Linked DNA regions of Callithrix jacchus. The protein of the gene in region 5 interacts with the protein of the main gene of each other region in a pairwise test. Links are inferred from orthologs where the notes say so. Each region holds a gene or a part of one and is shown on either strand. Other genes may lie near its edges.

Region 1 (3,500 bases), on a different chromosome or scaffold from region 5:
CTTGCTTGCTCATGGATGGCTCATTCCTTTTCAAGTGAATGTGCTTGCTCTGCTTTTTTTTGCCTTCTCACTGTTCTTTCCATTCTCGCTTTCCAAAGACGGAAGCAGCACCAGCTCTGTTAGGTAAATGCAAGACTTCCAGCTCCAGGAAGCAGGTTGGTTTTCTGTTCTGCCTCGTTCGTTTGTGGGTGTCTGTCAGCCCTCCAGGGCCAGTCGGGGGCCTCTCCCTAGGAGTGATGCTTCCTCTATCCTCAGCAAAAAGCCTCTCGAAAGGGGTCCCACAGTGAGAGCGGGATCATTAAAGGCCCCTATGATAAGAAGGAGGCACAAGCCCCGAGCCTGGAGATGGGGAAAGCTCAGGCTGGGCAGCCTTTGGGCCCTGGGCTGTAATCTAGAAATGAAGGAGGATGCTGAGGGCCTGGCCCAGGACCAGCCCTCTCCTGTACCCTGTACTGGGGAAGGAACTGGGAAGCAGTGCTATTCCCAGACCAGGCCCTCAGGGGCACCGGGTAAGATGAGGCTGAGATGGCAGGTTGCCTTGAGCTTTAATGAGTGGATAACTCACTGGAGCACTTCACCAGAAGGGGAGCCTGGGGATCTTCGTGGGTGTCCCGTCATTCAGGGCTCTGCTGGCCATTACTCAGGCCTTTGTTCTTTGTTGCCGTCCCTGGAAGTGCTGCTCAGTTCACAGCAAAGGGCAGCTAGACAGAGTGACCCCAGGCTGCTTCCATTAGTGGGTGCACCTGTGTCTGGGGCATGGCACTAGCGGCTGCAGAGACAGAAGCAGGGCCGTGTGTTCGTGCACATAGATTTACACACCCGCAGCTGGTGCTGCTGCGGAATTCACTGTGGGGAGAGGCTGCCCAGACTTGCTGGCAGCATGCACAGAGATCGGGTCTTGAATTCACAGGTCAAGGTCTGTAGAGAAGCAGAGAGAGCACCTAGTAAGTAGTTTCCTTAACAAGCTCGGGCGTGGATGGTAAATAGCTTCTCTCCATCTTGCCTACCCAAGACAGAAGCTGAGGGAGTCTGACATGGGCACTGGGGATTCAAGGTCAGCACGGCCTGCCTCTTCCTCAGTGTTTGCATTCTCTGAGAGAATGTGTTAGTTGCAGCTAAGCTTTATCCCTTGTGGTCACTTGTTAATTTCAAGGAGGCTGTATCCATGCAGCCCTCCAGGCACAGGGTTCCGTTCTTTATGTGTTGACTCAGCATCCAGCACATGTCTGTCAAGTGCCCGCCAGTGCCAGTGCTATCATGGATCTTGGGGAACACAGCAAGGGGGCAGAGAAAAGCCCCTGCTTCATAGCTGGCACCGCAGCAATAACAATGGAGCCGAGGATCAGGGCTCATGCTGTTAACAGGAGGAATAACAGCTTCAGGGAGTGACAGGGACAAAGGAGGCAGTGGCATCTTCCATGAGGTCAGCAAAGGGCTCTATTGGTGTTTGAGCAGGGCCTGAGTGGAGGGAGCAAGCATGTACATTGGCAGTACGTGGGTGTGTGGATGCGCTTTTGACGTCAAGAAGCAGAGGGAGCTGGCGTGACTGTGGGTGAGCGACAGAGGCAGCGGGGGCTATGCAGAGCCTTGAAGGGTGAGATGAAGACTCTGCGTTTTATCTGAGTGCAAGGAGAAGGCCCTGGAGAATTGTGAGCCCAGAAAGGCCAAGAGCTGACCTCCATCTGAGAGAGGCCAGTTAGGAGGCACCTGCAGCCATGGAGGTCACGGGTGATGGTGCTTGGCTGAAGGTGTGGCAGCAGAGGTGTTGAGAATTGGGCAGGTCCTGGATGTCTCTAAGAACCATCAGGTTTTATGAATTGATCAGACAGAGGCTATTAGAGAAATGAGGGTGCCTGGGCTGTGGTGTAATCAACAGAAAGCAGTGTTTCATTTTCTGAGATTGGGCCAACTTGACAAAGGGGCTTGGAGGGCAGAAGGACAGTTTGGTTTTGGACATGCTAGGGTTGAGTAGCCAGGTGGAATTTAAGTCTGGGGTTCAAGGGCCAGGTCTGGGCTAGAGATTGAATTCTTGGAGCCGCCCATATTTGGATGGGGTCTAAGCCACAGGATAGGTGTCACTGCCTAGGGAGAGCAAGTAGAACGAGAAGGGAGGCGGCCCCAGCTCGTGAGCTGCCTCTGCCCTGCAGAGGTTGGGGAAGCTGAGGGAGGGGGACCTGGACTAGAGAAGGGGCCCTGGGGGTTGGAGGAGATTGGTTTTAAGGCTGAAGGTGTGATTCCACCGCTCACGCAAGTTGAGGCCTCAGAATCTTTCCACTTTATTGAGTGTTTCACTCTTGACAAAAGCAGTCCTGGGGTCAGCGGGTGAGAGCCCGAGGAATCTGAAGCGGCCGTGAGGGACACAGGTGCAGACAGTGAGTTCAGCAACTCACTCAGGAGCTCTGCGTGCGGGGAGGGAGACGGGCCAGAGCAGCTGGAGAGGAGGGTGGGAATACATAATGGATTTTTTTTTTCAAGAAGGAAATTAAAGCATGTGTGTGCGCTGTCAGGAATGATGTAGACAGAACGACCGGCCCTCCTGGTTTCCACGGGGTGCAGGACCCATTTTAAAGCTGAGCTGATTGGGTGCGCTGGATCTGATGAGGGAGAGGGTGTCTTACTTTGCTCCTTATACCCATGCCTGTGTTGCTTTCCGTCCACAATCTGCAAAAAGCCAAAACAGGCCTCCCTTCCCTCTGTCCAAACCTTTGCCCTCCTTGCCATCTGTAGTGGGGGGTCTCTGGGTCCTGTGGTCCTCATTTCAGATCCAGAGTGCTTCTGGGACACTGTGGCAAGGCCAGCCCCTGTAGCGCCACACCCAGATGCACCTGGTGTTTGAAGGATTCTGGTTGAATGATACATTCCAGCCAGCAGAACATTGCCTCAGTCCCATCCGTGTGCCATCCCACAGCCTGCCTGCCATTCTGCCAGCCTCTTCCTTCACATGGGGATGCTGCTATAGAAAGGGAAGCAGAGAATCCTAGGACAAGATGTCAGGAATGAGGTGGGACCCCCTGTTGTATCTGCCGTCTTTTTCCTATAGGAGGATTCGGAGGACAGTGAAATTGACATGGAAGATGATGATGAGGAGGATGAGGATTTGGAAGATGAGAGCATTGCTCTCTCGCCAACCAAGCCCAATCAAAGGGTCCAGAAACCTGAACCGCTGGAGGACAGTGACAACGACTTCTGACCTTCTTGCTAAGGGACCCAGGCAGATTAAAATCCTCAGTTGTGTAGGTAAATGGGAACTTAGGTTAGGAAGGTGGCTCCTGTTTTGCTCACGAAGCTAGCTGGACTCTGAATACTGAAGCAATACTTATTTCTGCTTTAGGCTCCTGTGATTGCATTCCATGAAGCTTAAATAAGAATGGAAGCAAATCTCAGTTTGTTTTTCTTTTTCACCTTTTTATCTCCTAAAACTTGAGGAATGTGAGTGTTGTTAGTGATTGACATCTGCAGGACAAAAACTCAAGGAGAAATAAGAGCTGATGCCACGCAAG
Region 2 (3,278 bases), on a different chromosome or scaffold from region 5:
AGGGCGCTTAAGTAGGGTCAATGTTTGTGCCAACTGTCTCCCAGAAATCAGCATGGACCAGGCCCACGTAAAAAATCCGCATCAGCCGACGACAGATGTCTCGTCCATCGGTCCACAACGCAGAGCTTCTCTTGGTGGGCCTGAAGGAGCACATGTCAGCCAAGACACTGGGGCAACTTTAGAGATTGTTTCAGGGCCAAGGAGAATTCTCAAAGTTCTCGAGGCCAGGGGGTTGGCTTCAAAACAGCCCCCAGGAAATGCAGCCCCAGAGACACTGCAAAGCTCGAAAGAGACATTGCATTCCTCCCTGTGTCCACTCCCAGGAAAGCACTGGGCCCCTGAAAGAGCTCCAAGGTATCCCCAAAGGCCCAGCCAATCTTGGGAGGGTCCAGAAGGCTGTCCACCGTTCCAGAAGTCACCCCACCTGGTACAATGCTCCTCCCGGGCTTCCAGCACTGGGTGAACCCCACGGCTCCAGAACAACTGCCCTTTCCAAGCTGCAGAGAATCTCAAAGACGTAAAGATCTCTTCTGGGAGGGCTCCAAAAAAATACAGACTTTGCATCGTAAACCCTCGCCTCTGTAAACCCCAGGGCTCCAGTCCCCCCAACCCTCCGTCTCCCAGAGATCCCCAGGGGTTCACCTACAGCCTTTCAAACTTCCCAAGGATCCCGAGACCCCCTTATCTCGCAGCGCAAACCTAGGACAACTAGAGATCCTCTCTGCGCCTCTGAGGTGCCCCTCTCCAGACTCAAGGTTCCAGAAAAAATCCATGCCCTCGGAAACCCCAGAATCTGACTTACTTTCCCGAGACACCCCAGGACCCCAGGCTCATCAGTTCACAGGGCTCTTAATGCTCCTATACAACTCTCGCTCCCAGAGGGACCCTCACCCCGCTCATGAAACCCTTCACTTCCCTGAAGCAGGCCCAGGGCCCCCAACCCCCATCCCCCATTTCACAACAGCCTCGGGTTACAGGCGCGTGACTTCGCCCTGCTTCGGGTCGGGGGGCTGAGACTCCTTTCTGCTCCGGATTGGTCAGGCACGGCCTTCGGTCCCGCCTCCTGCCACCGCAGATTGGCCGATCGCCCGCCCCGAACGCCCCGCCCCCGAGGGCCCGCGCACTATAAAGGGAGCCGCCCTCGCCACGTCCCATAGCAGTTCGGCGGTCCCGCGGATCTGTCTCTTGCTTCAACAGTGTTTGGACGGAACAGATCCCGGGGACTCTTTCTTCCAGCCTCCGACCGCCCTCCAGTTTCCTCTCCAGTTGCAACCTCCGGGACCATCTTCTCGGTCATCTCCTGCTTCTGGGAACCTGCTAACACCGTTTTTGTGGTTAGCTCCTTTTTGCCAACCAACCATGAGCTCCCAGATTCGTCAGAATTATTCCACCGACGTGGAGGCAGCCGTCAACCACCTGGTCAATGTGTACCTGCAGGCCTCCTACACCTACCTCTCTCTGGTGAGTCCCCGGGACGCCCCTGGCCCTAATTTCCTCCAACTGCGCACCTCCGGCCCTCGGCGCAGGCGCCGGCTTTCTTTGTCCGGTCGGGTAAACAGAGGGCGGAGTTCCCCCTGGCCTCGCCTCTCGCTAACCACTGTTCCCTCCATCTCTTCCCGCAGGGCTACTATTTCGACCGCGATGATGTAGCTCTGGAAGGCGTGAGCCACTTCTTCCGCGAATTGGCCGAGGAGAAACGCGAGGGCTATGAGCGTCTCCTGAAGATGCAAAACCAGCGTGGCGGCCGCGCTCTCTTTCAGGACATCAAGGTAACTGGCTTGAGGGTAATGGACTACATCTCCCAGCAGTCCGTGCGCGCGAGGCGCCTTGGCTTGTGGGCTTAGATGTCGCGTGGGCTTCTGGGAGATTGAGTTCGGTTTTGTAAGCGTTCTTAACAGCTGGAAATGGTGTCTCACGTCGTGCAGTGCCCCCATGATGCGGCAGTCCACACCGCTGCGTGGTCTTCTATAGATGTCGTTGTAAAAGATAGGACGGAGTAGCCGGGCGCGGTGGCACCAGCCTGGCCATCATGGTGAAACCCCATTTAAAAAAAAAAAAAAGGACGGAGTTCGGAGTGATAAATACAAGGGTCACATGTCCTTTTGATCCCCAACGACTCTTGGGAAATGTCACTTTGGTTCTTTGTGCCGGTGTGTGTATTCTGAGCACTTTCCCTCCTGTATAGAAGCCGGCTCAAGATGAGTGGGGTAAAACCCTGGACGCCATGGAAGCCGCCATGGCCCTGGAGAAAAATCTGAACCAGGCTCTTTTGGATCTTCATGCCCTGGGTTCTGCCCGCACGGACCCCCATGTAAGAACCCACTGCATCCATCGCTACCCAACCATACCCCTCAAGCCTTGCCTCCCTTTGGGCAGATTTCCTTCAGAGCCACATTTCACACCTGTCACATTTCAATCTGCAGTTGGGAGCTCTCCCTCTTTTCCAGGGACTGGGTTTCTAATTTCTTCCTCTTTTCTCTCAGCTCTGTGACTTCCTGGAGAGTCACTTCCTAGATGAGGAAGTGAAAATCATCAAGAAGATGGGTGACCACCTGACCAACCTCCGCAGGCTGGCCAGCCCACAGGCTGGGCTGGGCGAGTATCTCTTTGAAAGGCTCACTCTCAAGCACGACTAAGAGCCTGCTGAGCCCGGCCACTTAGGAAGGGCCTTTGCAAAGTAACAGCGCTTCTGCCTAAGCCTCTCCCTCCAGCCACTAGGCAGCTTTCTAACTACCCTTACAAGCCTTGGACCAAATGGAAATAAAGCTATTTGAAGCAGCTGGTGGTTTTGTGTGTGGTGTGGTTGGTGCAGAAGATGAGGTGGGATCTGTTCTCATAAAGCTTCTGGCTGGATTGGGATGGCAGCGAAAAAGGCGTTGGCTGCATCTCCGGTTTTCTTATCTGTTCTAAGACAAGAGCTGTCTGTGGGTTATGTTGAGCCTGAGGGTTCTCTGCTTGCCTGGCTGTTAACTGTCCCTACCAGATGGTAGAGATAGAATTCAGGGAGTTGAATTAAGACTCAGGTTGGTCCCTGGAAACAGATCTGTTAGGTCTCAGTAGCCAGAAACAGCCCTATTTAATGGGTGATGGTGAGGCCAGGCATCATGCCAATCTCTTAAATATTGTGTGCCATGGCCGGGTGTGGTGGCTCACACCTGTGATCCCAACACTTTGGGAGGCTAAGGTGGTCGGTCATCTGAAGTCAGGAGTTGAAGACCAGCCTGGCCAACATGGTGAAACCCTGTCTCTGCTAAAAATACCAAAAAGAATAAAAAAAG
Region 3 (4,214 bases), on a different chromosome or scaffold from region 5:
TGAAAGTCCTAGATGGCATCTTCTTCCAATAGAAGGCTGTTTCCTCTACGTTGAAAATCTGTTGTTTAGTGTAGCCGCCTTCATCAATGGTCTTAGCTAAAGCTTCTGGATAACTTGCTGCAGCTTCTACATCAGCACTAGCTGCTTCACCCTGTGCTTTTATGTTATGGAAACGGCTTCTTTCCTTCAACCTCATGAACCAAGCTCTGCTAGCTTCAGACTTTTCTTCTGCAGCTTCCTCACCTCTCTCAGCCTTCATAGAGTTGAACAGAGTTAGGGCCTTGCTCTGGGTTAGGCCTTGGCTTAAAGGAACGTCGCGGCTGGTATGATCTTCTAACCAGGCCACTAAAACTTTCTCCATATCAGCGATAAGGCTGTTTCGCTTTCTTATCATTCGTGTGTTCATTGGAGTAGCACTTTCAATTTCCTTCAAGAACTTTTCCTTTGCATTTACAACTTGGCTAACTGTTTGCCGCAGAAGGCCTAGCCTTCGGCCTATCTCAGCTTTTGACATACCCTCCTCACTGAGTTTAATCATTTCTAGTTTCTGATTTAAAGTGAGAGACGTACGACTCTTCCTTTCACTTGAGCACTTAGAGGCCATTGCTGAGTTATTAATTTGCCTCATCTCAATATTGTTGTGTCTCAGGGAATAGGGAGGCCCAAGAAGAGGGAGATGGGGAACAGTCTGTGGGTGAAGCAGTCAGAACACACACAACATTAAGTTCGCTGTCTTATAAAATATAAAAGATGCAGTATGTGGCACTCCAAAACAATGACAATAGCAACATCAAAGATCACTGATCACAGATCACCATAACAGACACAGAAATCATGAAAAAGTCTGAAATATTTTGAAAATTACCAAAATGTAACACAGAGACACAAAGTGAGCACACGCAGTTGGAAAAATGGCGCTGATACAATTGCTGGGCTCAGGGCTGCCACAAACCCTCAATTTGTTTTTAGAAAGCCCTATCTGCAAAGCGCAATAAAACGAGGAATACCATAATAGAGTGGCGCCGCCGCCAAAGGAAAGCCTTGGGGAGGTTAAGAGAGATGCCGGAGGGTGCGTCCCGCACTGGAGGAGGAGGAGGAGGGTTTTTACCAAAGCAGCGAGTCCAGAGTCCGCGCCGTCAACGACCGCGGTGCTGTCTTTTTTCCGAGCCGCTGCGGGAGGGTGCCAGGACATGCTCCCTTAGGAGAACTGGCGGCTCACAAACACCGGGACTGGGAAAAACCTGAAGCCAGCAGTCAGCTCCGCTGCCTAGGCCAGCCCTCTGCGCAGCCGCCCCGGGCTGGCGTCCCGGGATAGCAGCCCCCAGCCGGGCCTGCGCGCCGACGTTCCGGTGCGCCTCGCGCAAAACCGGAAGTAGCCGGGCCTAAGGCTGAGGGACCCGGTGGAGCGGAAGTCACTCCTTGAGGCAGTGGCGACAGCGGCGGCGAGAGGATGAACAACAAGTTCGACGCGTGAGTGGCTCCTGGCCGCCCCTGGGGCCCCTTCCTCCAACCGTTCCCCGCTCCCGCCCCCACTGGGGCTGAGGAGGTGCAAAGCCTGCGGCACCGGCTTCCCTCCCGGGATCCGGCAGCGGCCGGACCTGGCCTGGGCTGGAGGGGAGGAGGGGGCTGGGGAGCGATGGCTACAGGGGTTCCTGGGACCCCAGGGCCGTCCGGACCGAGGGCGAAGAGCTGGGCGTGGGGAAGGGGTGGCTGTGCCGCCCTGTAGGGGGAGATTTTCGGACGCCCCGCCCCGAAGATGCGGGTTGCCGGCGACGTGGAGGGGTGGGGACCTCGGCGGTTTGGGTGTTTCCGCAGTCTGGCCGCACTGCCTTTGAATCTAGCTTTCCTCACACACTCCCTCTCCCTTCTGAGCCTCAGTTTTCTCATCTGCAGAGTGGGGACGGTAACAGCCTGTGTCTTAGAGTTTAGCGGATGCAGGGAGGTAACGTGGCTGCTGCGCTCGGCGCAGTGGAAGGCTCGCTTAGGAATGATATTCCTGAGACTCTACTTTCTTTCTCCTCCCCCTCCGGTTCCCATCTTCCTACACATTCGCCCAGAGCTAGGTATACTTGTTGCCCTCTCCGGTTCCTAGTTTCAGCATCAAACGGTTTGGAGGTACAGAGAGAAAATGCAAAAGTATTTTTACTTATCCCCCTCCAAGGATTGTATCTTGAGGTAGAATATGCTCCTACTCTCTTCTAGTAAATCTGTCTCTTCATCCGAAGACCTGGATTTCTAGTCTCAGACTTACCGCTTTCCAGCTGTTTGCAGAAAAGTTACCCAGTCTCTGAGTCGTTGTTGCTTAAACCACATTAGTGGATAGTATCCTGCTGCCACACCGGGGTGTGAGAAGGGTCAGCTCACACTCAGCAGTGCTTAAAGATACTTGTGAACATTGCTAACTATTGCGATATAACCGTAAAGTGGAATTACTATTAGTTTAGGTTGTGACCTGGTGCTATTGACGGGAAATTGGGTTTTTTTCCAATACAGCGAGTACTGTGCAAATTCAGGGAGTACTGGATTTCCAACACTCCAGGCAGATGGCTCCTCAGCAATGTTTCCTGGCTGCCGAGATGTCTCTGCTATTTGAGAAAGTCTTTTCTCTATCCTGCTGTTTAACTGAGCCCATCCTATACGAACCTCTCCCCTCACTCCCACCCCATTTCATCTCTCTTGTAAACCGTGCAACACCCAGCTTCAGATCCAAATCCTGCCTAAGTGGAGCTTTCTGGGACCCTTATTCCCCTTCCTCCACTGATTTGAACAAATCAAATTTCATCCTAAGAAGACGTTTTATGGGTCATCTAGCTTAAGCCTACCCAAATCATGTGGGGGTCTGCAGTAAGAATGGTAATAATGGACTTCCACAGGGATCTTGCTAGGTACTTTTCATATAAATATATTTTTACAGACAGAGTCTCACTCCGTCACCCCTGGCTGGAGTGCAATGGTGTGATCACAGCTCACTGCCCACTTGACCTCTCGGGCACCAGCAATCCTCCCATCTCAGCCTCCAGAGTAGCCAGGACCACAAGCATGTGCTACCCTGCCTGGCTAAATTTTTTTGTATTTTTTGTAGAGACAGTTGCACCTTGTTGCCCAGGATCTCAAACTCCTGGGCTCAAGAGGTCTACCCACCTTGGCCTCCCAAAGTGCTAGGATTACAGGGGTGAGCCACCGCCCCCAGTCTCATGTTATTTCTACTCTAACAATTCTGAAGGGGATCTTGTTATCTCCTTTATGGATAAGGAAAATGAGACTGAGGTTAAGTAACAGGAAGCGCTCTCCCAGGTTTGTGGTGTAACCTTGGTTCAAGCACCTTGAGACAAAAATTATATTTGGCCTTTTTTTTTCCTTATGTCTTTAATGAAAAACCTGGGTCATCTTAATTACTTTGAATTATTAACTATTACATTGAGCCAGAATCTTTTAACATCTGCCCTCTAGCATTGCAGGAAAGAAAATGAAAAACAAGCTTTCTTTCATTTGAAATTAGCAATTGAAAACAGCGCTCCTGGCCCTAGTTTTATTTTTTTATGTTGTTTTTCATTCAGAAATTCTGTGGTGTTTAGGCCATTGCTGTATATTTGGAGTCTTTACCACGTTACTCTCCTTACTAATCTTCACTCTTTACCACATTGCTCCTGAGGACATGTTTCAGTTTGTCAGAAGCCTAGAAGTCCAGTGGCTGGAGCTTAGTACATAATCTAGTGGGCTCAGATTAAAGAGTAGCTCTACTCTCCATTACTGTATAGACTCAACTTCTCTGAATGAAACCTTTTATTGTAATTGCTTTCGTGGAGAAGGGGTAGACTTGCCAAGTCCTTAGATCACATTGCCATTGATCCTATTGATATGTAAAACCCTAAGATGCTATCACAAAAACTGCAGTCCTGACTTTGTTAAACATGGTTTTCAGATCTAGACAACTATACTGATTTTGTCCCTATTCTATGTCATTTGCTTTTTACTCTGTATCGTTAACTTTGGGCCCCTTCCTAACTATTGTCTAAACCACTTATTTGGCACTCATTGCTTTGATTCTAGAGACCATTCATTAAATAGGGATTTGTTTTATGCCACTGTCTGATGGTGGTGGTATAAAGATGAATTGAACTAAGGTCCTACCCACAAGGAATTGGTCTAGTTCAGAGGGTGAGGAGATACCTGGGCAGAAGCTTAGCAAGCTGACTTAAGTGCCTCTCAATCTG
Region 4 (2,746 bases), on a different chromosome or scaffold from region 5:
GTGCAGACATCTTCTTGACCTGTCACTGTGTGGGCCAGTGGGATGCAGACACCAGGCACAGCCTCGTACTGTCTAGTCTCATCGTAAATTGGCTTTAGACCCAATTTTCCAGATGTGTGTCGTCTTGCAGTAGCACTCCCAAGTCAGAATTTGGAAAACCGTCTCTCTCCAGGGCCTTGACTGACTTGTACCTCCCCCTGCAGACATTCTCATCGTCAAGCTGAGAAAGGGCCAGGAGCTGAGACTTCGGGCCTATGCCAAAAAGGGCTTTGGCAAGGAGCATGCCAAATGGAACCCTACCGCAGGGGTGGCTTTTGAATATGATCCAGACAATGCCCTGAGGCACACAGTGTACCCCAAGCCTGAGGAATGGTATGTTCCCTTTAGGAGTGGTGGCAGGCATTTGGGGGGTGGGCATGGCATGGAAATGGCTGCTGGTGACTGAGATGTGGCAGGCTCTCTAGGAAATTGAGTGCCCCAAAAGCAGCAGTGGCAACCTTGTGCTGACCTGTGTTTGACCTCAGGCCAAAGAGTGAGTACTCGGAGCTGGATGAGGATGAGTCGCAGGCTCCCTATGACCCCAATGGCAAGCCAGAGAGGTAAGACCCTGGTTGGACATGAGAAGGTGAAGGGGCTCAGAAGGGATGGTTTTGGTGCAAGCTCTGGGCTCGGCAGTCCTTCTTCCCCACCTTGAAGTTCTTGTAAGCTGAGGAGGGGCTGCTGACTGCTGAACTTGGCTATTTGCTATGTGTATGCCCTGGGGGCATGTCGCCAGCCCCCACTTTGGTCACTGTGACAAAGAGGACCCTCCAGTTACCGGTTTTTCCTATTCTGATTTTCAGCCCCCAAAGAAAAGATTCTTCAGATCAAATCTAGGGGCAGAGATTTTGACCCAAGTTCCACAGGGGCAACTGAAGGGGCTGTGACACTGGTCACTGCTCACATGGTTTTCTACTCTCTCCTCAGTGAGGTGTGTGTTCATACAGAATCTGAGGATTTTCACAGGTACTCTTATGAGGTAGTTGTAGCCTCCTTGAGGTCATGCAGTGTGTTGAAACTACTCTATGCAAGAGGTTTTAGATGAAGGGAAGTCAGCCCCGGCCCAAGGTCAAGTTCCATGTGGGAACAGAGCCAAGACCCTGAACGAGGAAGGGTTCTCCATGGCCAGAGCTCAGGTTGGCCAGCCTGCCTTGCAGGGTGCTCACTGGACTCTTACCTCCTAGGTTTTACTACAATGTGGAGTCCTGTGGCTCTCTGCGTCCTGAAACCATTGTTCTGTCAGCCCTCTCTGGATTGAAGAAGAAACTGAGTGATTTACAAACTCAATTAAGCCACGAGATCCAGAGTGACGTGCTAACCATAAATTAGCTGCAGCTTGCCTGCTTCAGCAAAAACGGAGATTCAGGCCAGCAGCTGGATTTGAGGGTCTCTCTTGAGGCTCTTCTAGTTTCTGGGAATTTAGTCTACTGCTTCTTGAGCTTCTTGGCAGGTCATCAGTACCAACTAGAAGCGGGTCATAGATAGATTACCAGGGATGCGGTGGTGTTTGGGCAGGACAGGTTTTTATTGGTCCTGACTGCTTTTAGTAATTGCCAGCAGGGCTCCCCAGATCCCAGAACGTCCCTTCCAGTCTGTTTGCAGCGCACCTGTAGGGAACCCACTGAACTTCTCTCCTGGTTAGTCTGGGTCTTTACGCTAAATCCTTCCTGTCCAAAAGGAGTAATTTTCAGTTGTACCTTAGATTTCTGGTGTTAGGATCCAGTGCCACAGTCTTGATTCAAGGAGCTTATAAACCCTTCTAGTCCTTGCTCCAGGGCCGGCCTGCTGGCACTTTATATTCCCAGGTGTCCCTCATTTGAGAAATAATCTTTTGGGAATAGCATTACACCCTGGCTGTCCCCTCCCCACCAAATAAACACAGTATTTCATTCTCTACCAGCAGTTATGAACCCCTTCGCCACCAGTGGCCTAATCACTGAGTTTGGTGGTGGTGGTGGGGGTGGAAGCAGCCGCAGGAGCAAGAGCCCCTCCCACATACACAGGAGAAGTATTTCATTTCTCCTTAATGAAGGCTCTGGCCCTAACCCCTTAGCACTGTTTCCGGGTAGGAACACACAAAGAAGTTAATTAGGCAGCCTGGAGAAAAGCAGAGATCCAGTACAGAAAGGAAAGGATATTTATTGATTAACAGAAGTTGTCTTTTTAAAAGTGTTTATTTTTGGCAATAAAGAGCACAACATAATCTCCTTCATGCGTCATCGTGCCACTTAGCTGAGCCAGCCAGCTCTGCCTCCCCCGCCAAAGACCTTTGGACCCCCGTTCCCCCCTTCAGGCTAGCTCATCCCTCTGGGTGGTCATTCCCTGGTCACGTTGAGAGCTGAGCTGACTGTGCCACCTCTCTGGCTCAAGGGCTCCTTTGGGAGGGGCCGCATGCTTTATCATCCTCCTGCCACAACTCAAATAGTGGTTATTTACAAGAAGGTCTGTTCCCACAAATCAGGACCCTAAAGTTTTAAAAAACAAAACAAAACGCAAAAAACAACAAAAACCCCACACAACCAAAGGTTTGATGTGAATAGAAAGATAGATAGCCCTTCTGCGTGGTAGTCAACAAACACCAGCACTAGAAAATCAATTGCTTTAATTGCATTTCAGCAGGGAGCCTCAGCACCATGTGGGGAGGAGGAAATGGGAAGGTCTTGGTTTCAGAGTGCTTTTGGCTGGCCAGAGTGGCCAGACAGGGCCA
Region 5 (4,102 bases):
AAAAAAATACAAAACAATGGCAAAACCACACGATGCTTAGTTAACAAAAGAAATCACCCCCAAGAGCCCCCAACCCCCTTTCCCTGCCTGTCCCTGGCAACTTCAGCACAGGAGACCTTGGTCAGATGGCAGCTTTACAAACAACACACAAAACAAAACAAAACACAACATAAAACCACTGGAAGGTTCCCAATATTCACTGCAAAAGCTTGGCCCCCCAGAGACTCGGGAACAGAGGATTGTTCCTCTCCCTTTCTTCTCTCTCAATTCAGGGCAGGCCCAGCCCAGCCACTGGCATTGGGAAGAGACCAGAACAGGAGACATGCACAGCTTGTTCAGGTCAGGACACTGTCTTTGTCTCTCAAACCGTTTCATTTGGGGGGTGGGATTAGAGGCCACATTATGATTAAAAAGGAAGCTCCTGAGTTTGCCCCCTGAGCTGAGGCATACACCAGGGGGTGCTCTGGTCCCCTGCTTTACCTCCCTGGAAAGGGGATGCCCTCCAAGGATGCAGCTGAATGAGGGCATCCATTGCCTTGCTGGGGGGTGGGTTAACCTTACATGGATGAGGAAGAGGATAGTCTGGCCTATGGCACCCCAGAGCTGGCTTCCTAGCATCAGGGTGCCCTGGCTTAGGAGGCCCCTGCTGTAGAAGCAGTGGCATCTGTGGCCAGCTTGGGGGTTCACAAGGATGCCCGGCCTGGCAGACAATCTCAGTTGGGCATGGTTTCATCTGGGAAAGCCACAGACACATCTTCCACTGTGATGCTGTCCACGATGGAGGTGAGGGAGTGCAGGTTGTGGGCGTCTGTAGGGTCAGCCGCGAGCAGAGGATCTGTAAGGGGAGGTGGGAGGTGGTGCCTGAGTGAGCAGTGGGGGTTCTTGAGGCCCAGAATGGGGGAATGGGGAATGGGACCCTTGGGGTGACACAGTTTTTCCAGGACAGATGGGTGACAAAGCTCGGGAGTTCTACTCCCTAGTCCCTGCCTTTCCCCATGCTCTGTGTGTGTGAGTGTGTGTGTTTGTGTGTGTGTGCACGCGCATGCTCCCCTCCTCTCTGAAATCCCCTAGTGAGGTAGGATTTGGAAGCACCACTCCAGTTGGAGCAGGATGGAGCTCCTCAGAGACTGGACCTGCCCTTTTCTGGGCCCAGTTTTGCAGCACTGACTCAGCACTTCGCAGGGACCCCTGGGGCGGGGACATTGCCCTCTCTGTGGAGAAGGTCAGCCACCAGGCATCAGCTGGGGAGCTGCAGGAGCCACCATCACTCCTTTGCTGGTCAAGACTATAGGGGCACACGGAACCTCCCAGCCCACCCTTTGGGCCCTGGAGTCCGCAGGTCCCTGCAGAGACCCAAGGAAGAGGACCAGAGCAAGGAAGAAGGTAAGAGGGGAGAACCTGGCCCAGGGAGGGACTGAGGGATTGGAGCCAAGTTTGCCCTCACTTACCCCCGGGGTTGGCACCGAACTCCAGTGTGCTGCCCCACTCTGGACTGCAGGAGGCGCTGTGAGAGCTGCATTCGCTGGGCACCTGCAAGACAGGGCGAAGGCCCAAGGTCAGGGCACAGCCATTCTTTGATGTGTCTGTCTGCCTAGTCCCAGTGGGCAGAAGCACCTGTGGTGGGGTCAGAGGGTGGGCCACAGGCTGTGGCCTTCCAGTGTAGGCCATCCCCAACCCCAGAATCTTTGCAACCAGCTCCTCCACTCCCCAGAGGCCCTGCTTCCAGGCCTTCCTGGCCTCCATTCTGGGTGGTGGTTCTGCCCTCAGAGGACACCAGCTTAAAGGGATCCCTGGTTCTCCTGACCCTGGGGATAAGGGTAATGGGAACAGACTGGCCCAGTGAGAGTCGCTCTGCACAGGCCTGCTGGAGTTCCAGTGAGACTGAGTGGGTTTTCTCTCTGCTCAGCCACACCCAGGATGGGGCGAGACGGGGGACAAGGCAGTCTTCTCTGGCGAACTTGGCCTGGCCATTTAGGCTCTGACTCAGGCGCTGGGGTTAATCCTCAGCCTTGCTCCCGATCCTTTCTTTAGTCCTGTGTTCCCCACTCCCACCCCCCTGTACTTCCTCCCCACTGCCTTTATCTCCTCGGGAAAGAACACAGAACACGGGAGGTCAGCTGGACAGCCCAGCTCTGACCAGGGAAGGGCTCCTGCAGCCCCTCAATCCTGTCTGGCACCTACTTCAACCCTCCGAACCCCTGTTGGGGTCTTGAGGCTGTCCAGGTGCCTCCCTCTGGCGCCCTGCCCCTGGGGCAGGAGGATGGGATGGCCACTTACCCCTGGCTGGGGCCCACCCCCGCCCCGGTAGCGGAGGTCTCGCTCCTCCTGGTTGAGGGAGCTGAGCAGGGCCTGCAGGCGCTCGATGTATTGGATGGCGCTGCGCAGGATCTCCACCTTGGGCAGCCGCTGGTTGGGGTTGAGCAGGGTGCTCCTCTTCAGGGCCTCGAAGGCCTCGTTCACCTTCTTGAGCCGGCGCTTCTCCCTCAGTGTGGCTGCCCGCCGCCGGTCCACGGACACCGACTTCCTCTTACACACCTTACATGCCCACGGCAGGCACTGGCCGGGGCAGTGTTCAGGGGTCCCCAGCCCCTTGTCCTCGAGGGGCCCTCGGGCCTCAGGGCTCAAGCTGAGCTCTGTCCGCTCATAGCCTGGTGGCTCGAAGCCCTGGAGGTGGACAGGCAGGTAGTTTTCCCCGTCATAGAAGCGGGGTTCCTGGTAGAAATAGGGGGATGTTTCATATAGCTCCATGGGGTCGGAAAAGGCTTGTTCCTGCCACCAGCCCCCAAGCTCCTGCAGCCCCTCACGCCAACTGCTGGGTGCCATTTAAACCCTCCCCGCTGGCATGGAACCAGAGATAAATATAGCCAACGCCACAGAAACCTGAGCCCCCTCTAAGCTGTTGCTGCACATCAAGACGTTTACAGTGGATTACATGTGATTCCCTTCTCTCTCCCCTATGGCCCCCACCCCACCCAGCCAGCCTGCCCCTGGCCCAGGCGGGCTCCTGTGCACGGGTTGGGAGGCTGTCGGGTGTAATTTGATTAGTTTTCATTTCTCAGCAGCCCTGGTGGGGCAAGGGGCATTGGGGGAGGACACATTCCCCTCTCATCTGCTCCTTTCAATTACTCCTAGCTGGGCGGCCTGCCTACTCTCTCCTTGCTAGTCTTAAAGAAGCTGGTGGTTGTAGGGGGAGGAGGGAACAAGGAAAGGTAGGCTTAGGCTGGAAGGGGCCCTAAGAGTCAACTTATCCATCTCCCTGCTTCCTGATAGCACCTTAATTACACTACATCAGTCGGATGAGACTCTTAAAGACCTCCCTCCGAAAAGAATGGGACTGCTTCAGATTCTGGGTATCCACGGGCACTCAGTATCCAGGGATAAGAAGGATCGAGACTCAGAGTAGCTCATGGATTCCACTTTCGGGGTTCCCAAGCAGCTTTGACCTGTATGTTCTCTTAGGTCTCATGTGATGGCAGGGGGTAAATTGAGGCAAGAGAAATTATTTGGGTTTTGGTTTTCTTGCCAGGGGTCAAGAGAAATTTTCTCTTTAATACAGCGGCCGTGGTCAGAGCAGGGATTAGAATTTACAGCCTACACGTTGCCACCTTCCCCAGAGCATCAAGGTCAAGATTACTAAGCTCCCTGTCTCCTCCCTGTCTCACTCTGGACCATTGATTTGTCCTTCTATGTTACCTCCTCAACTCTTTTTCCAGCACCAGAATTCTCCTGACTCATTACTGTGGATGGGGGTGGGAAAGGAGAAATAACGGAGCCTTCAAACTCAGCTTAAATCTCCTCTCTCCTTGACCACCGGGCTTGGTTGTTCTGCCTCTTTCTGTCCAAGGCATCAATTTTACAAGTAACATGCAGGTCTCAAATGTCAGGTGGAGCAGGGACTATTTAATCTTCAGGCCTCTCAGGCCATGATCACCTCTCAGTAGGTGCCTCAGGATCTGAGAGGACAAATTCCTTCCAATGCAGTAGGCAGACTTCAGACAACAGCATGAACAGGGCTCAGTCTTAGGGCTGGGAATTATAGGGACACCCCAGACAGGGTCCCTGCCCTCGACCTTACCATCTGGTAGACAACAGTGGTCACCTC
Region 6 (2,481 bases), on a different chromosome or scaffold from region 5:
TTTAATGATATAAGAAATTTTCAGCCTATCCAGATTGCAAAAGACACCAAAATTAGTGAATTCACTGCCATGAAATCATCCTACAGAAATAAAATCAAAGGCATGGCTAGCCATTCTTTTGTTAGTGCCTTTAAGGGATGAAAAGACCAAAGTATTCAATCACACAGATGATGTTTTGAAGAGATATGGGGTGTGCTTCTCAAATATGCAAGGAATAGAGACGGAATTTTCTGAGAGATCTGTGAAGAAGACTCTGTCTAATGGCATGAATCCTCATGACATACATAAAACACATGTAAGTTTTTGAGAATGTTATATCAGCAGAAACAATGCCAGCTTAGACTGAAAGAAAGAAATAGAGCAAGAAATGAAAGAAGGCTATAGGACTCCCAAAATTTGACAGGAGAAAGCAGGCTGATAAAACTACTCGGCTGTAAACACATGCTACCATTCAAAATAAAGGAAAAATGACTGAGGGCAGAACCAAGAGACCAGAGGGAAGATTTATTCCCCCAGGTGAAGTTACAGGATCAGAGTGATCAGAGGGAGGGGTCTCAAGCTGTAGACTATTCCCAGGCCTTGAAACCTAATGGTTAGATTTTGAAATTGTTTGGATTTGAGACTATTTTCTTTCCACTATTTCCCTTGTGAAATGGCAAAGTTATTGGCTGTAAATGAACAAAACTCAAAGGGAAAACACAGAATTAGCAGAGAGTAAAATTAAATAATAGAAAAGAAACAACTCTTAGTGCTTTGGCTTCACCTAGGAGAGACAAGAAATACACATCTGGGCTTAAACTGAGCACAAGATGCACTTCTCCATCAACTATGTTTACCTGGCACTGACAGGTATTGAGCATCTTATTATTAATTGCAAAATGATTAAAAAATATTTTTCAAATAGAGTAAAATCATGACACTCATACAGATATGAAATGAACATATACTAAAAGAAAAGGTTATTATAACAGGTTCAAAAGGGAAACCAAAGAATTGATATGGGAATATTCATCAGGAATATTAAATGATTGTGTGTAAATGGAGGTAAAATTGGTTTCATTAGGTGAAGGACAACTGAACCTCTACTGAAGAATATATCATCCATGTATCTGTGGCCTACAAGTAACAAAAACCTATGCAAGATTTCAGAGATAATGTAAGGCTAGAATCAGATAATTTGCAATGATGTCCTAAAGATAGAGCAAAGTTTTCCACTGAAACACACATTTATTTTTACAATGTCAAAATCAGATAAAAAGTTATAGTTCTCTCAAAATCAGGATTCAGTCATTAGGGTGACTAGGTCAGTGTCACAGACATTTCTAGGCTGAGGTCTGCTCAGGGAAATTCCAAAGTCTAGGATGTCACAAAGGCAGCTAGCTCCCTGACCAATCAGGGCCTGGAGCAGAGAGATACAATGGGCAGGACTAAGTGCCAGTGTCCTTGGAGACCTGCTCAAGCAGGAGAATCAAGCATAGCTCAGCAGAGCCAGACCAAGCAAACATAATGTCAGAAACAGAAAACTGTAAGAACTCCCCTACAAATAACAATCAGAATCAAGAACCTTCAAGAAATGAGCCACAGGTCCCTAGGACCTTCGTTGACCGCCTTCTTCAGGATGAACGAGATGCCCAAAGCCAGACTTCCTCCATGATAAATAGCCTCCTTACCTTGCTCGATTGCCTTGGTGACTTCATCATGGAGCAGGTAGGCCTGGAGGCCAGCCACAATGACAGTATGAACAACACTTCACAAGATGCGGAGAGAGAAGTGGACAACAACCGTGAGCCCCACTGCCTCGAGAGCGATATAACCTGCTTTCTGTTGGATGGGATGCCCAAATCCGAGAAGAATGGCTGAAGACCGAGTTCCAAAGCCTGGAAGGGATCCTCTCAGGCTTAACCAGGGCAAAAACATATCATAGCTGAGGAATCCCTGCTGTTGTCATCAACAAGTGCTATTAAAGGATGTAAATCCGTGAGTATGTTTCTGACTCCACTTAGTTTCCGTCACTTTGGGTTGGAGGTGTTTGTGAGACATCTAGGAGAAGCTATTCCTAGAGAGCTGAAGGGGTGTAGGGGTGGCCAGTGTGGGGAGTTTTGAATTAATGATTTTAGAGGGGGCAGTCTCCAATAGTGACTATGAGGTCACTGGCCTTTTGGGGAGGAACTGGCTGGGGTAGACACAGAGACTTCCTCATTGCCTTGGAACAGGAAGGCCTTGTGAGGCCAGGGGGTTGGCTGGGGACCTCTGAGGCTTGTTGAATTCCCAGCCTGATGCTGGGGCCTGGGGTGGAGCTGCAATCTCTGACTGAGGTGCTGGAGGCTTCATTCAGGATAGCAAAGGTCTGAAGTCAGATGGCGGCGGTCACAGAGGTGGATGGAGAGGGGGCACACTGGCTGGCATGAACTTAATGGGACAGGGGCTTTACATAGACATTGAGGAGTGAAGGAAAAACCATCACGAAAAATGCATAAAAGA
Region 7 (3,399 bases), on a different chromosome or scaffold from region 5:
ACACCTTTCAAGAATTGATTGCTGGGATTCATTGACTAAGAGAATAAAAATGAAAGAAAATATTGAGATGGTGTTATCTCTTGTGAGGAACAGGGAGAGAAGGGATTAGGCAGGCAGAAGGGTATCAGAGAAAACTCTGCCCTTGTGGTACACAACTAACTTCGATTGCCACACATTCTTCAAGTTGCCAACCTTTCACAGATATGATGAGGTGATACGTAAATATACTGGTATATAAAATATTATTTGTCCACTTTTTTTTTGTTTAGTTTTGGGTTTTATTTTTTTCTGGCGGGGGGGGTTGGTTTTTTTTCTTGAGATGGAGTCTTACACAGTCGCCCAGGCTGGAGTGCAATGGCAGGATCTTGACTCACTGCAACCTCCACCTCCTGGGTTCAAGGGATTCTCCTGCCTCAGCCTCCCAAGTAGCCAGGACTACAGGCATCTGCCACCATGCCCGGCTAATTTTCGTATTTTTAGTAGAGATGGAGTTTTGCCATGTTGGCCAGGCTGGTCTCAAACTCCTGACCTCAGGCGACCCACCCATCTTGGCCTACCAAAGTGTTGGGATTACAGGCGTGAGCCACGGCACCCAGCCTCACTAGTTTCTTCTATGTCTTACCCAACTAAATTGTTGGTTTTGTAGAGGCAGAGCATTTGCCTGTATTGTGGCCCACTGTGCTCTGGGATCATAGCCCTAAAGCAACTGCCTGACACATAGTAGGTGGTCAATAAACACATTTGATGAGTGTATAAACGGTACATCACCAGCAGTACTCACCTTCAAACAGAACTGAAAAATTAAAATGAAAATCATCCAATTAACTTTATATATTAACAGAGTTCCTCATACATAGTAGATGGAATGCTTTTGTGAATATTATCCCTGGAACAGTCACAATAATCTTCAGAGGCACTCATTTCATGTGTGGAAACAAAACTTGGAGAAATTAAGTGACTTACCTAATATCACTCAGATATTAAATGATAAAACAGAGAGAGATTTGAGCTTTGAACCCAGCCTACTGCTTTTTAAAAATTTTTTTAATTATTGTGGCCAATAGTAGGTAAATATGGGGTACATGAGATATTTTAACACAGGCATGCAATGTGTAATAATCACATCAGGGTAAATGGAGTATCCATCATCTCAAGCATTTATCCTTTGTGTTATAAACAATTTAATTATGCTTGTTTAGTTATTTTTAAATGTACATAAAGGCCTATAGCTATTTATACCATGACTGTTGCTTTTGAATTTTTAGAAATTGATTGACAAATGGTATAATTATAGACTTATTTAAAATAGGTTCCTGGCGGGGCATGGTGGCTCACACCTGTAATCCCTGCACTTTGGGAAGCTGAAGCATGTGGATCGCCTGAGGTCAGGAGTTTGAGACCAGCCTGACCACTATGGTGAAACCCTGTCTCTACTAAAAATACAAAAATTAGCCAAGCATGGCAATGGGTGCCTGTAATCCCAGTTACTCGGGAGGCTGAGACAGGAGAATCGATTGAACTCAGGAGGGTGAGGTTGAAGTGAGCCGAGATTACACCACTGCACTCTAGCCGGAGTGACAAAGTGAGACTCCACCTCAAAAATAAATAAATAAATAAATAAAAGTTGATCATAATGAACACCTAGGGTTCAGAACCACCAGTCTAAAAGATTGTTGCAACAGTCTGTTTTAGAAACAGTCATGAATTGGCCAGTTGGAAGCGAATTTTTTTTTTGAGACAGAGTCTCACTCTCTTGCCCAGTCTGGAGTGCAGTGGCGCAATCTTAGCTCACTGTAACCTCTGCCTCCCAGGTCAGAGCGATTCTCATGCCTCAGCCTCCTGTGTAGCTGTGATTACAGGTGCCCAACATGAAACCCAGGTAAGTTTTATATTTTTAGTAGAGATAGGGTTTCACCATATGGACCAGGCTGGTCTTGAACTCTTGGCCCCAAGTGATCTGCCCACCTCAGCCTCTCAAAATGCTGGGATTACAGGCGTGAGCCACTGCATCAGGCCAGAAAATAAATTTTAATATAAAGAAGATGTCACTTTTTTGTTTGTTTTGTTTTTTGAGATAGAATTTCACTATGTTACCCAGGTTGGGGTGCAATGGCACAATCTCGGCTCACTGCAGCCTCTGCCTCCCAGGTTCAAGCAATTCTCCTACCCCAGGCTCCCAAGTAGCTGGGATTACAGGCACACATCACCAAACCCAGCTGATTTTTTAAATTTTTAGTTGAGACAGGGTTTCACCATGTTAGCTAGGCTTGTCTCAAACTCCTGACCTCAAGTGATCTGCCCACCTCAGCCTCCCAAAGTGCTGAGGTTACAGACGTGAGCTACCGTGCCCAGCCAAGAAAATCTTACTTCTATTTCCCTCTTCATTGGAAGATGGCTTAATAAAAGTTACTATGGGTATTTTTTAATTCCCTAAAAGCATAATGGCCAAATTTATTTAAATATTATTAGTAACCCTTAGTCTTAATGTGCTTCGAGTTTCATATTTAGAAGCAAGGAGTTTTTCCTCAGTGATGCTATTCAGTTCTTCTTCATGACTTCCAAATATGGCACCATGTGTGCATTTCTGATTCTTGTCTCTTCTGAGTTCTGTGAAGTTTCACTTTGTCCCTTCTCAGGTTTTCCTGTATGAGATAGGACAAATTCCTTTATGACTTAAAGCATATATTTAATATTTTAAAGGATAATATCGTTAATGCAAATCTGACTTTCTAGAATCTTACAGGCTGTTTTCCCATCTCATAATCAGGCAGCTAACCTTTGATCTGGAACTGAGGTCATCTGACACACTTGCAGGTTGGCTGCCATGTTATGAGACTCAACAGAAAAACTATATAATTATTAGATTTACCTTAATGACATTTATTTTGGAAAAAAGATTTGTGGTTTTAGCTTATAATTTTCTATGTGGTTACGTACAGGTGTAAAATACTAGACAGACATCTGGTGATATTGTCCAAGAAACACCTCGAGACCAAATTTTTGAAGCTGAATGTGGAAAAAGCACCTTTCCTTTGTGAGAGACTGCATATCAAAGTCATTCCCACACTAGCACTGGTAAAAGACGGGAAAACACAAGATTATGTTGTTGGGTTTACTGACCTGGGAAATACAGATGACTTCACCACAGAAACTTTAGAATGGAGGCTCGGTTGTTCTGACATTCTTAATTACAGGTAACTTTTAACAAAAGATCATACTGATTTTAGTTCATATAGTTGATATTTTTACAGAGGACTTTTGTATTGTAACATTTATTTTATGAAATTAATACCTTTCGGCTAAGGCATAGAAAGTTTCTCAAAGGAAAAGCATATTTCTTAAAGCATGTGTTATTAGAATGATTTTACAGCAAAATCAGATTTACAGATAAAACTGATT

Evidence for each region.
Region 1: the proteins of MYOG (region 5) and CLUAP1 interact in binary tests that used the Homo sapiens proteins (3 or more experiments, as listed by UniProt). The two-hybrid records come from large-scale screens. The link is inferred for Callithrix jacchus from reciprocal best matches to the Homo sapiens genes MYOG and CLUAP1.
Region 2: the proteins of MYOG (region 5) and FTL interact in binary tests that used the Homo sapiens proteins (3 or more experiments, as listed by UniProt). The two-hybrid records come from large-scale screens. The link is inferred for Callithrix jacchus from reciprocal best matches to the Homo sapiens genes MYOG and FTL.
Region 3: the proteins of MYOG (region 5) and EIF4E2 interact in binary tests that used the Homo sapiens proteins (3 or more experiments, as listed by UniProt). The two-hybrid records come from large-scale screens. The link is inferred for Callithrix jacchus from reciprocal best matches to the Homo sapiens genes MYOG and EIF4E2.
Region 4: the proteins of MYOG (region 5) and POLR2C interact in a two-hybrid assay, tested with the Homo sapiens proteins (2 studies listed by BioGRID and IntAct). The link is inferred for Callithrix jacchus from reciprocal best matches to the Homo sapiens genes MYOG and POLR2C.
Region 6: the proteins of MYOG (region 5) and H2AP interact in binary tests that used the Homo sapiens proteins (3 or more experiments, as listed by UniProt). The two-hybrid records come from large-scale screens. The link is inferred for Callithrix jacchus from reciprocal best matches to the Homo sapiens genes MYOG and H2AP.
Region 7: the proteins of MYOG (region 5) and TXNDC9 interact in binary tests that used the Homo sapiens proteins (3 or more experiments, as listed by UniProt). The two-hybrid records come from large-scale screens. The link is inferred for Callithrix jacchus from reciprocal best matches to the Homo sapiens genes MYOG and TXNDC9.

Annotation. Positions count from the first base shown.
Region 1 is NC_133513.1:5,645,511-5,649,010, forward strand, and holds part of CLUAP1 (clusterin-associated protein 1), read left to right. Parts: intron 1-98; coding exon 99-155; intron 156-3,040; coding exon 3,041-3,190; 3' UTR 3,191-3,237; exon of another isoform or gene 3,238-3,500. UniProt on the Homo sapiens protein: Required for cilia biogenesis. Appears to function within the multiple intraflagellar transport complex B (IFT-B). Key regulator of hedgehog signaling.
Region 2 is NC_133523.1:42,798,139-42,801,416, forward strand, and holds FTL (ferritin light chain), read left to right. Parts: upstream 1-1,155; 5' UTR 1,156-1,359; coding exon 1,360-1,461; intron 1,462-1,622; coding exon 1,623-1,769; intron 1,770-2,185; coding exon 2,186-2,311; intron 2,312-2,483; coding exon 2,484-2,636; 3' UTR 2,637-2,778; downstream 2,779-3,278.
Region 3 is NC_133507.1:153,927,112-153,931,325, forward strand, and holds the start of EIF4E2 (eukaryotic translation initiation factor 4E type 2), read left to right. Parts: upstream 1-1,414; 5' UTR 1,415-1,450; coding exon 1,451-1,470; intron 1,471-4,214. UniProt on the Homo sapiens protein: Recognizes and binds the 7-methylguanosine-containing mRNA cap during an early step in the initiation. Acts as a repressor of translation initiation.
Region 4 is NC_133521.1:15,349,338-15,352,083, forward strand, and holds the end of POLR2C (DNA-directed RNA polymerase II subunit RPB3), read left to right. Parts: intron 1-203; coding exon 204-372; intron 373-524; coding exon 525-599; intron 600-1,223; coding exon 1,224-1,368; 3' UTR 1,369-2,246; downstream 2,247-2,746. UniProt on the Homo sapiens protein: Core component of RNA polymerase II (Pol II), a DNA-dependent RNA polymerase which synthesizes mRNA precursors and many functional non-coding RNAs using the four ribonucleoside triphosphates as substrates.
Region 5 is NC_133520.1:30,128,787-30,132,888, forward strand, and holds the start of MYOG (myogenin), read right to left. Parts: upstream 2,801-4,102; 5' UTR 2,749-2,800; coding exon 2,278-2,748; intron 1,531-2,277; coding exon 1,449-1,530; intron 836-1,448; coding exon 714-835; 3' UTR 1-713. UniProt on the Homo sapiens protein: Acts as a transcriptional activator that promotes transcription of muscle-specific target genes and plays a role in muscle differentiation, cell cycle exit and muscle atrophy.
Region 6 is NC_133524.1:38,777,956-38,780,436, forward strand, and holds H2AP (huntingtin-interacting protein M), read left to right. Parts: upstream 1-1,445; 5' UTR 1,446-1,506; coding exon 1,507-1,860; 3' UTR 1,861-1,981; downstream 1,982-2,481.
Region 7 is NC_133515.1:8,919,376-8,922,774, reverse strand, and holds part of TXNDC9 (thioredoxin domain-containing protein 9), read left to right. Parts: intron 1-1,026; exon of another isoform or gene 1,027-2,642; intron 2,643-2,939; coding exon 2,940-3,194; intron 3,195-3,399. UniProt on the Homo sapiens protein: Significantly diminishes the chaperonin TCP1 complex ATPase activity, thus negatively impacts protein folding, including that of actin or tubulin.